2 linked regions of the Macaca fascicularis genome follow. The protein of the gene in region 1 binds, or shares a complex with, the protein of each later gene. Links are inferred from orthologs where the notes say so. Each region holds a gene or a part of one and is shown on either strand. Other genes may lie near its edges.

The links.
Region 2: the proteins of CINP (region 1) and AIRIM are in contact, whole or in part, in a cryo-EM structure (PDB 8RHN), measured with the Homo sapiens proteins. The link is inferred for Macaca fascicularis from reciprocal best matches to the Homo sapiens genes CINP and AIRIM. Residues at the interface, in NP_116019.1 of Homo sapiens: Leu161, Leu162, Thr165, Glu169, Asp177, Leu178, Leu180, Ser181, Tyr182, Ser184, Met185, His188, Pro190, Tyr191, Val192, Glu193, Ser194; in NP_001289959.1 of Homo sapiens: Leu107, Gln110, Ala113, Ala114, Asn116, Leu117, Phe119, Val122, Ala124, Leu125, Phe128, Pro129, Asp130, Leu131, Arg134, Leu135, Lys138, Gln139, Ala142.

What each region holds. Positions count from the first base shown.
Region 1 is NC_088381.1:170,474,476-170,478,743, forward strand, and holds the start of CINP (cyclin-dependent kinase 2-interacting protein), read right to left. Parts: upstream 2,801-4,268; 5' UTR 2,762-2,800; coding exon 2,755-2,761; intron 1-2,754. UniProt on the Homo sapiens protein: Component of the DNA replication complex, which interacts with two kinases, CDK2 and CDC7, thereby providing a functional and physical link between CDK2 and CDC7 during firing of the origins of replication.
Region 2 is NC_088375.1:197,229,379-197,233,645, reverse strand, and holds the start of AIRIM (AFG2-interacting ribosome maturation factor), read right to left. Parts: upstream 2,801-4,267; 5' UTR 2,588-2,800; exon of another isoform or gene 2,348-2,587; intron 2,149-2,347; exon of another isoform or gene 2,148-2,148; 5' UTR 2,018-2,147; intron 1,524-2,017; exon of another isoform or gene 1,460-1,523; 5' UTR 1,264-1,459; coding exon 1,159-1,263; intron 1,088-1,158; exon of another isoform or gene 536-1,087; intron 421-535; coding exon 140-420; intron 1-139. Other genes in the region: CDCA8 (borealin), read left to right, coding at 3,249-3,342, 3,465-3,593. UniProt on the Homo sapiens protein: Part of the 55LCC heterohexameric ATPase complex which is chromatin-associated and promotes replisome proteostasis to maintain replication fork progression and genome stability.

The DNA of each region.
Region 1 (4,268 bases):
AGCCTACATAGAATATTTTTAACATTTTAAGATTCACCAGATATAGCTGAATCCTTTTCCAGCTTAATGGCTCCGCAAAATTTTTACCTTAAGCCCTTTGTTTTCCAAAGATTGGAAATAAGGTAAAGTTGTGACTTTCTGCTAAAACTCTTCAATGGCTCCGGTTACCTTCCCTACAGGATAATCTATCTAGCCCTGACTCCTGAGTACTTCCACTATCTAGTCTCAGGCACTCTGATACTTTAAATTTGTTCAGAGTGGCATGGCTCATGAGTGCTAATCATTTCAAGACACTGAGACAACAGAGATGCAGAGTTGATCACGATGCTGCCACGGCCCTGCTTGGAAATCAGGAGGAAGTCCAAAGTCCTTCCAGACCTAGCTACCCCTCTGCATCAACACGTACATCAACCCACACATACACATTGGCCCCCTGTCAATCTCCAGTGAAAATGAACTACTGGCAGCTCTTGAAAAGCTGAGGTGCCTGCAGGCCTTTGCACGTGTTCTCTCTGCAGGAAAGCGCCTTCCTTCCTCAGGCTCATGGCGCCTATCCTCCAAGATGTACCCGGATCCCACTGCCTGTGGGAAGCAACCCCCAGACCACCAAGAGCCAACTCAGGTTGTTTGTTCTCCCCCAGCCCTCCGGTGCCCTCTCGCCTTCTCTACTTTGAACCCCGCAAAGGCTTCTCACGGCCCACAGGATAAAGTCCCCTTCAGGAATCCAGGACACACAACAGCTGGATGGTTTGACGTCTCGAGTCAGAAGACCACACTGCCTGCGTCTGAATCCCAGCTCTGCCAGCTGTGAGATCTTGGGCAAGTTAATGTACCTTTCAGAGCCTCAACATTTTCATCTGTAAAATGGGAATAAAAATAGTATCTACTTCATAGGATTGCTGAGATGAGATAATATATGTGAAGCTGTGAGGCCTGGCACATGGCAAAAACCCAGTATCTCACCTGTTAGCTCAAGGCCTCTACTATCCAAGCTCTGCCCATCCCTTCAGCTTCCCCCTTTCCCACTTGCCCTCTGTGCCTCAGAGCTGGCTCTGTCCAAGTTCTGACTTTGACCTGGAATGTTTTTCCTATCTGTGTGTGTCCCCACTCCCCTGCCTCATACTTAGTATCCTCACTTTTAAATATCATATTGATTTATCACTCATTCTTTACTTAAACAACAAATATTTGCTTACTGTCTACAATATGCCAGGCATGGGGGAATGAAGTGATTGAATGAGATGGATCAGGACCGTTTTCAAGGAACTTACTTTCCAAAGGGGAGGCAGATAATAAACGCTTAAATGGCCACGATCAGTTCCGATCATGGTAAGTGTATGTGGAAAATAAAACAGGGTCTTGTGTTAGTGTGACCCCCTGAGAAGGTATCATTCAGGCTGAGATCTGAATGATGAAAAGCCAGAAAAAGGGTAGGTCGGTAGTATGTGCCCTAATTATGAGAATGAGGTTGGTGAGTTCAAAAAACAGAAAACAAAACAAAATAAAACAAACAAACAAAAACCAGTGTGCTGGAATGAAATGGACAGAAAAGGACTAGTGGGTGAGGAGGTGATCAGACAACTAGAACCTAATAGCTTAAGATAAGAAGTTTGGACTTATTCTAAGTATTAGACTGGTGCAAAAGTAACAGGTTTTGCCACAACTTTTAATGGCCAAAACTGCCATTACTTTTGCACTAACCTAATACAATGGGGAGTGAGCAATAAACTCTGGGTAGGGCAGTGAAATTATCTGATTCAGGTTTTTAGAAAGTCATTTCCACAGAGAAGTATTCCTGGATCCCCCAAGTTGGGGGGTAGATATGTGGAACATCCTGTAATTCTGCTATCACGATATTCATCGGTGGAGTGTATTTGCTTGTTTAATGTCTATATTCCCTGCTAAACTGGGAATTCAACTAGGGTAGGAACTATGTCTTGTTCTCTTTCAAACCTTCCACACATAGGAAGCTTTGCATAAAATGAGGTAAATGGAGGAATAGCTCTTACCACCTGTTCTATAACTGTCTGAGGGTTTTCCCCCAGCAGGAGATTCTGAGGGCAGGACCACATCTGATTTATGGTCAGCCTGACTCATACTGGGCACATATTTAGGAACCAAAAACATAACTGACTTCAAGAAACTTAAGGGCCAGTAAAGACAGACCAGTCATCAGCGTCACAGGACAGGGCAGGGTGAGGGCACAGTGACTAAGTTACTTATCCCCTCTGAGCCTCTACTCCCCATCTGCAAAATGGGGTTGACATTACTTCATGGGATCACTGTGAGGTTCAAATGAGATGATTCACTTAAAGTACTTGGAGCAGCACTCAGCAGACTGAGCACTAGGCGAAAGCCAGCTTTCATTACAAGCAGAATGTTCTGACAAGGCAGTTCAGAGAGGAGTTACTGGAGGAGCTGAGCATGCAAGGCTTGGCACCCAGTGAACTCTGTTAGTGCTAATTTATAGTGAAAATAATTACAATTTGGGTGTCTGATCTGCTGACACTCATTTGCGTATATCGTCCCGTTCATCTGTCACTCCACATGTGAAAAAACGGAGGCTCGGCAAAACTGTCTCCCGAGCAGCCAGCAGAGGCTGCGCGGGGCCTGCGGGCTAGGCTGGGGCAAGGCATCTGACCTCCATTTAACCTCATTTAATCCGGGGAGCTCCTCAGCTTCTGGCCCAACCTGCGGCCCAAGCAGTAACATTCACAGCCACCCTGCCCCGGGAAAGGAACCCATCTCACGCACCTTCCATGCGGTCCGCAGAGATCCCTAGAAGGAGAGGCGAAGCCCCGCCCACCCCCGCCGGAAACGCATTTGCGTCACGTCCGCCCCGCCCGCTACCACTTGTGGCTCTGCCGCTCTAGCACCTGGCGGAGCCAACTGCCGCTCTTCGGTGCTGGCCCCGGTGTCGGCCCCGTTGCCCAGGGAACGGGCTCCCGGCAGCCCCCGCGGCCCGGAGTCCATCCCCGCCTCCTCCGGCCCGGTGGGGCCGACGAGTCCGGAGGGGCTGCCGCGGGAGGTGAGTCCCGCGACGCCGCAGGCGACCCCGACGCCCCCGACGCCTGGCCCCTCGCCCCCTCCTCGGCCTCCCCCAGGCCACTCTTCCCTTGCCTCAGCCCCGCAGGGTCTCCATGCCCGTCCGCCCTGCCTCCCTCGCCCGCGGTCTCGCCCGCGCGGAGTGGCGGACACTAAATGCCACAACACACTGAGCGCCTGGCTTGCCGCCCGCGGAAGCCGGCGGTCCGCAGCGGGGAGCGGGGGCCGCCCGCCCCTCCTCAGGCCTCCGCGGCGCGCCCCGTGCCCTCGGTCCCACCCTGCACCCCGGCTGCCGGTCTGGCCGCGGGCTGTGCTCCTTCGCCTTAGGATTGACGTCGCGTTCTGTCCCCCACTCGCAGCCCGCGTCCCTTACATCCGCCCACCGGCGCCTGGCCCCAGGCCTTGACACTCACCCAGTTGGTGTTCAGTGTTCGATGAATGGATAAGCGAATGACTCCTTTCCCAACCCTATTTGAAGGCCTGGGAGGCAGAATAGGTAGTAAGGGTTAAAGAATGGGGTGTCCTGGAGTCAGACCCGGGCAGGTCAAAGCGGCATCTTCCTCGCTCTGTGCTGGGGCAAGTGCCGTACCTCACGCCGCTCCGGTTTCATCACCAGTGGAATGGAGATGAGAATAGTTTCTACCTCTGGCTTGGTGAGAGGATTAAATGGGTCAGTGCATGTAAAGTTAAGCATGGTGCCTGCCGCTGTACATTTCAGTAAAGGGGAGCCTCTGCTGTCAATTTGTGCTAGCCTGCCTTCTCGCCCTCTAGTCCGTTCTGATATGTCTCTGACTTCTCATGACTTTAGTTACTCCTTCTCTACTTCCATTTCTCTTCCCTGCCCTTTTTTCTTCCTCTCTTTCTTATTGGGATTCAGGAATTTTATTCTGTTTTGTGACTTATGTTCCATTTGTTGGCAGAATGTGGGATACCAAACTGGGTACATTCTTTTCTCATCTACTGGAGTGATCAGTTGCACTTGTTGACTGCCTCCTTGCAGCCAAGGTCTTGTAAACAGAGAGTTCTGGGAAATCCGCAAACCCAAATCGCGGGCATAGGTAGAATCTGGGAATGAAGCCACTGTAGCTCCTTGTGATCACCAGTGATTCCTGGTCTTTTAAGCTGCAGGACTTTGTGTTTTCTCACACCCAGCTATAATGTACCTTGATAAACCTCTGACTTTGTTTTTGTTGTTGTTGTTAACCTGACTTACGTCCCATGTT
Region 2 (4,267 bases), on another chromosome or scaffold:
GGTAAGTGAGGAAGGTTGAGATACCTCCAAATGCCACGCTTTCAAGGAGAAAAACACCTTCTGGACTGATACTAGCTACATATAAAACACCTCGTTTTAAAATCCTTCCACCAGGAAAGAGCACTATGGAGCTGCTTACAGCCTTTCCCCTAGCTTGTCCAGGACGATGTCACCAGCAGCCAGCTGCTTGCGCCTCAGCCGCTCTTTTAAGTCTGGGAAGGCCCGAAGCGCCGGCACATCCTCGAACCGCAGGTTCTGTGCGGCCTGCAGCTGCTCCGCCAGGTTGCTGAGGGAAGACAGGAGGGGCTGGCAGTCCTGCAGGGCACTCTGCCACAGGCCCTGCTGCTCCTCCACCACCAGGAAGCACTTCTTCAGGGCCTCCTGCACGGCAAGCAGAGGCCGGTCTTGAGTCATCTTCTGCTGAAAAAGATAAAAATAGAAAATAACCACGTTGGGGTGGCAAGTCAGTCCGGGAGGCACTGGGTCGAGGGTGGGCGTCATTTCCGTCCTCGTGTTCACACAGGAGTTGTCTCACCTCCAGAAGTGGTTTTTTTTGTTTTTGTTTTTTTCGACACGGAATTTCACTCTGTCGCCCAGGCTGGAGTGCAGTAGCGCTATCTCGGCTCACTCCAACCTCTGCATCCCAGGTTCAAGCAATTCTCCTGTCTCAGCCTCCCGAGTAGCTGGGAATACAGGTGCCCGCCACCACGCCCGGCTAATTTTTGTATTTTTAGTAGAGACAGGGTTTCGCCATGTTGGCCAGGCTGGTCTTGAACTCCTGACCTCAGGTTTTCCGCCCGTCTCGGTATCCCAAAGTGCTGGGATTACAGGCGTGAGCCACCAGCCCCGGCCCTGCCTCAGCTTTCTGAAGGAGATCCTGGCTTCCCCTTGGGAAGGGTAACCTGGATAGGGCAGTCTCCTGCTTCAGAGGATTCCCGGCGGCCAATCGCCGTCTCTTCTCTGACCTACAGTCCTGTCTCCCCTGCCCGAGGCTGCCGGTCGCGTTCCTGAAACCAGCGGAAAAACTTAAAAGTCAAGACACCCAAAGCGTGAGCACCACGCGCCCATAGTCTCTCTGCGCATGCTCACAGGCGACCGCCCCCAAAGCTCCTCCGCAGGCCTGCAAGGCTATTGAGTCGCGAAAATATATCATAGTACCGAAATTACTTCTGGGTACTGTAGTCCAACATGTGGATTGGCCACTCGGCTTGAAGCTTCCTTGGGACTGGATGTTGGGACCGTCCAAACACGGCGACTTCTCATTTGTCAGCCTGCGGCAGTTTAAATTGGGTGGCAGTGGTGGCATGTCCTCTTAACTGTGGAGTCTTTTCCTCTCAGCTTGCGCCTTCGGCTGTGCCTTAATGACACTTTTGACATTGTGTATCACAACCAACTGGCAAAAACTAGTGAATCACGGGCTCCTGACGTGGCAGCTCTCGCTGAGATGCAGGTGGACATCCTAGGTGCCCAGGGAGGTCGGGCACATTGGGGAGTCGGGTGAAGGAAACCCTGAAACCGAGAGGCTGGAAGCCCAATTTGCCCATCATAAAAACACCTGCTGCGGGAAAGCCTACATGAGGTACGGGTTGTCGTCCCCTCTCATCTTGGCCATCTAACTGATGGAGATCCTTAGGCACCCAGCAGACTCGGGTGTCACCCCCACCACCCACTGCCCAGGGCTGACCTTGGGCGGAAGAGCGACATTCAAATATTTTTTGTATATGGAGCAACAAACCAGGGTGGAAGAGAGAGAGAAAGGACTTTCTAGGAAGGGCCAGGCTTGCCAGGGTTTCTATGCTTGGACTGCTCTGTCCCCAAGCTCGCTGGTGCCCATCAGGAGCCTGCTTGGCACCTTTGCTTATTTCTTTGATTGTTCCTGAACTCAGAGGGGGAGAGGCAAGATTATCACTCCCATAGCCTATAACATGCACGCTTAAACACAAACAACCCCTCTGACATGGCTTCATTCCGCATCCACAGGTGAAAAGCACCAAATCCAAACAATCAGGCCACAAACCTGTCAAGAGCTCGCCGGTCTGGCCGTCCAGTCGTCGCCCGCCTTGAGACTCAGCCTGAGCTACAGCTTCGAAACTAGCCTCTAGCCTTGCTGGGTCTCAGCACAACCCTTGAGCAATCCAACCCTGTGGCTGTGGGCAGATGCAAAGATGCACAGTTAGCACTTCCGACAGGACTGCGGCTCAGCGGGGTTCGAGGTCTACACGCCCATTCCCAGGCCCACGGCCAGAACACCCAGAGCTGCCTCCTGCCCTGGGCTCCCTGGAGTGTGGTGGCCGCGGCTCACGCTGCAGTCACCGCGTGGGCAGCTGCCAAGCGCCACTACTCGCACCTGAAGTCGCGGCCCCGCGCTGCACACCCAGTCGAGGCGCCAAGACGCGAACTGGACGGGAGTGGCCGGCCCGCGGGCAAGCGAGGAACAAGAGGGTTCTCCCCACTCGCTGCCCAAACTGGCCACGGGCTGGCGCGCCCACCCCAAAGCCTGCACCCCGGCCCCGCTCCCCTGTCATTCCGCCTCGACCCCTTCCAAACCCTGTCGGGGCTGCTCTGTCTCCGCCGACCCTCCACTTGCCCCAAGTTCGGCCTGGGGAGCTTGGGGCCCTGAGGAGCGCCGACGTAGGCAGCCAACCAGTCAATCAGTCAGAGTGTCACGGCGGCCCCTCGGCTACTCAGTGGCAGCCAGGCCTGGAAGAAGCAGCCGCCGGCCCCGGAGCAGAATCCTACAGCCGACCTGACCTAGTCCGCTCCTAGCCCTTCAAAGATTGGGGTAATGAGGACCCGCCGCAAGGCCTGCCGGGAGTCGCAGTTTGTATAGTTTGCAGCCGGCCAGGGCGGAGCCGGGTGGGTTGGTGGGGAGGGCGGGGAAACAAGCCTGGACCACAACTCCCAGGAGCACCCGCGACGGCGGCGCCCGCGCTGACGCACTCCGGCTATAGGGAGCGCATTGGGCGGGAGACCCCGGGCAGGTAGGAACTTGCTTGTGATTGGATACTGTGGGACGGCGGTTTCTCATTCGTCAGCCTGTGGCTGTGGAGTTTGAATTAGGTGGCGGTTGACGGTAGAGCCGCTCTCTCTCACTGGCATAGCGAGGTTTTACTCAGTCCTTGTCGCGAGACCGGAGGTACGTGCCTGGCGACTTATTCGGGTGGTCCCCATCCGCCCTCCTGGTCCCTACCTGGTTCCTTGCCTCCCTGCCCCATCTCCGCCGCTCCCCGCAGCCTCCGCCGAGCGCCATGGCTCCTAGGAAGGGCAGTAGTCGGGTGGCCAAGATCAACTCCTTACGGAGGCGGAAGCTCGCCTCCTTTCTGAAAGACTTCGACCGTGAAGGTAAAGGGGCCAGGCCGTCGCGGCCTCCTGGGGCGGTCGCGGGATGCTGGCGGGTGGGGACACGAGCTGCACACATTCACCCGCCCCGTGACCCGTGTCCTGTCGGCTCTGCCCTCCCGCAGTGGAAATACGAATCAAGCAAATTGAGTCAGACAGGCAGAACCTCCTCAAGGAGGTGGATAACCTCTACAACATCGAGATCCTGCGGCTCCCCAAGGCGCTGCGCCAGATGAACTGGCTTGACTACTTCGGTAAGAGCTGGAGAGCTTCCCTGGGCGGAGGCCGGGAGCCCCGTGGGGTTAGGTAACACCCTTCAGAAAGGACTCGCTCAGATGTCACCTTTTAATGAAATCTGACATGACCACTTATGGAAAATTGCAGACCCTTTCACTCTCTGTCTCACTTCCGTAAGTCATGTGTCTCCATCCTTTTCTCTAAAGGCCTAGGTAGCAAATATTTTAGGCTACTTGAGCCGGTGGGAGGGGTCTCTGTCGGACAACTTAGCTCTGCTGTTACAGGTCCAAAACAGCTATAGTGAATGGGCATGGATGGGCTGTATTCCAATAAAATTTTAGTTGTGGATACACTGAAATGTGAATTTCACATAATTTTCACACATCAGGAATTTTATTTTATTTTTTTGGAACAGAGTCTCACTCTGTCACCCAGGCTGGAGTGCAGTGCAGTGGTGCGATCTTGGCTCACTGCAACCTCCACCTTCTGTATTCAAGTGATTCTCCTGCCTCAGCCTCCGGAGTAGCTGGGATTACGGTCTCCTGCCACTATGCCCTGCTGATTTTTGTATTTTCAGTAGAGACGAGGCTTCACCATGTTGGCCAGGCTGGTCTCGCACTACTGACCTCAAGTGATCTGCATGCCTCAGCCTCCCAAAGTGCTGGGATTACAGGAGTCAGCCACTGTGCCC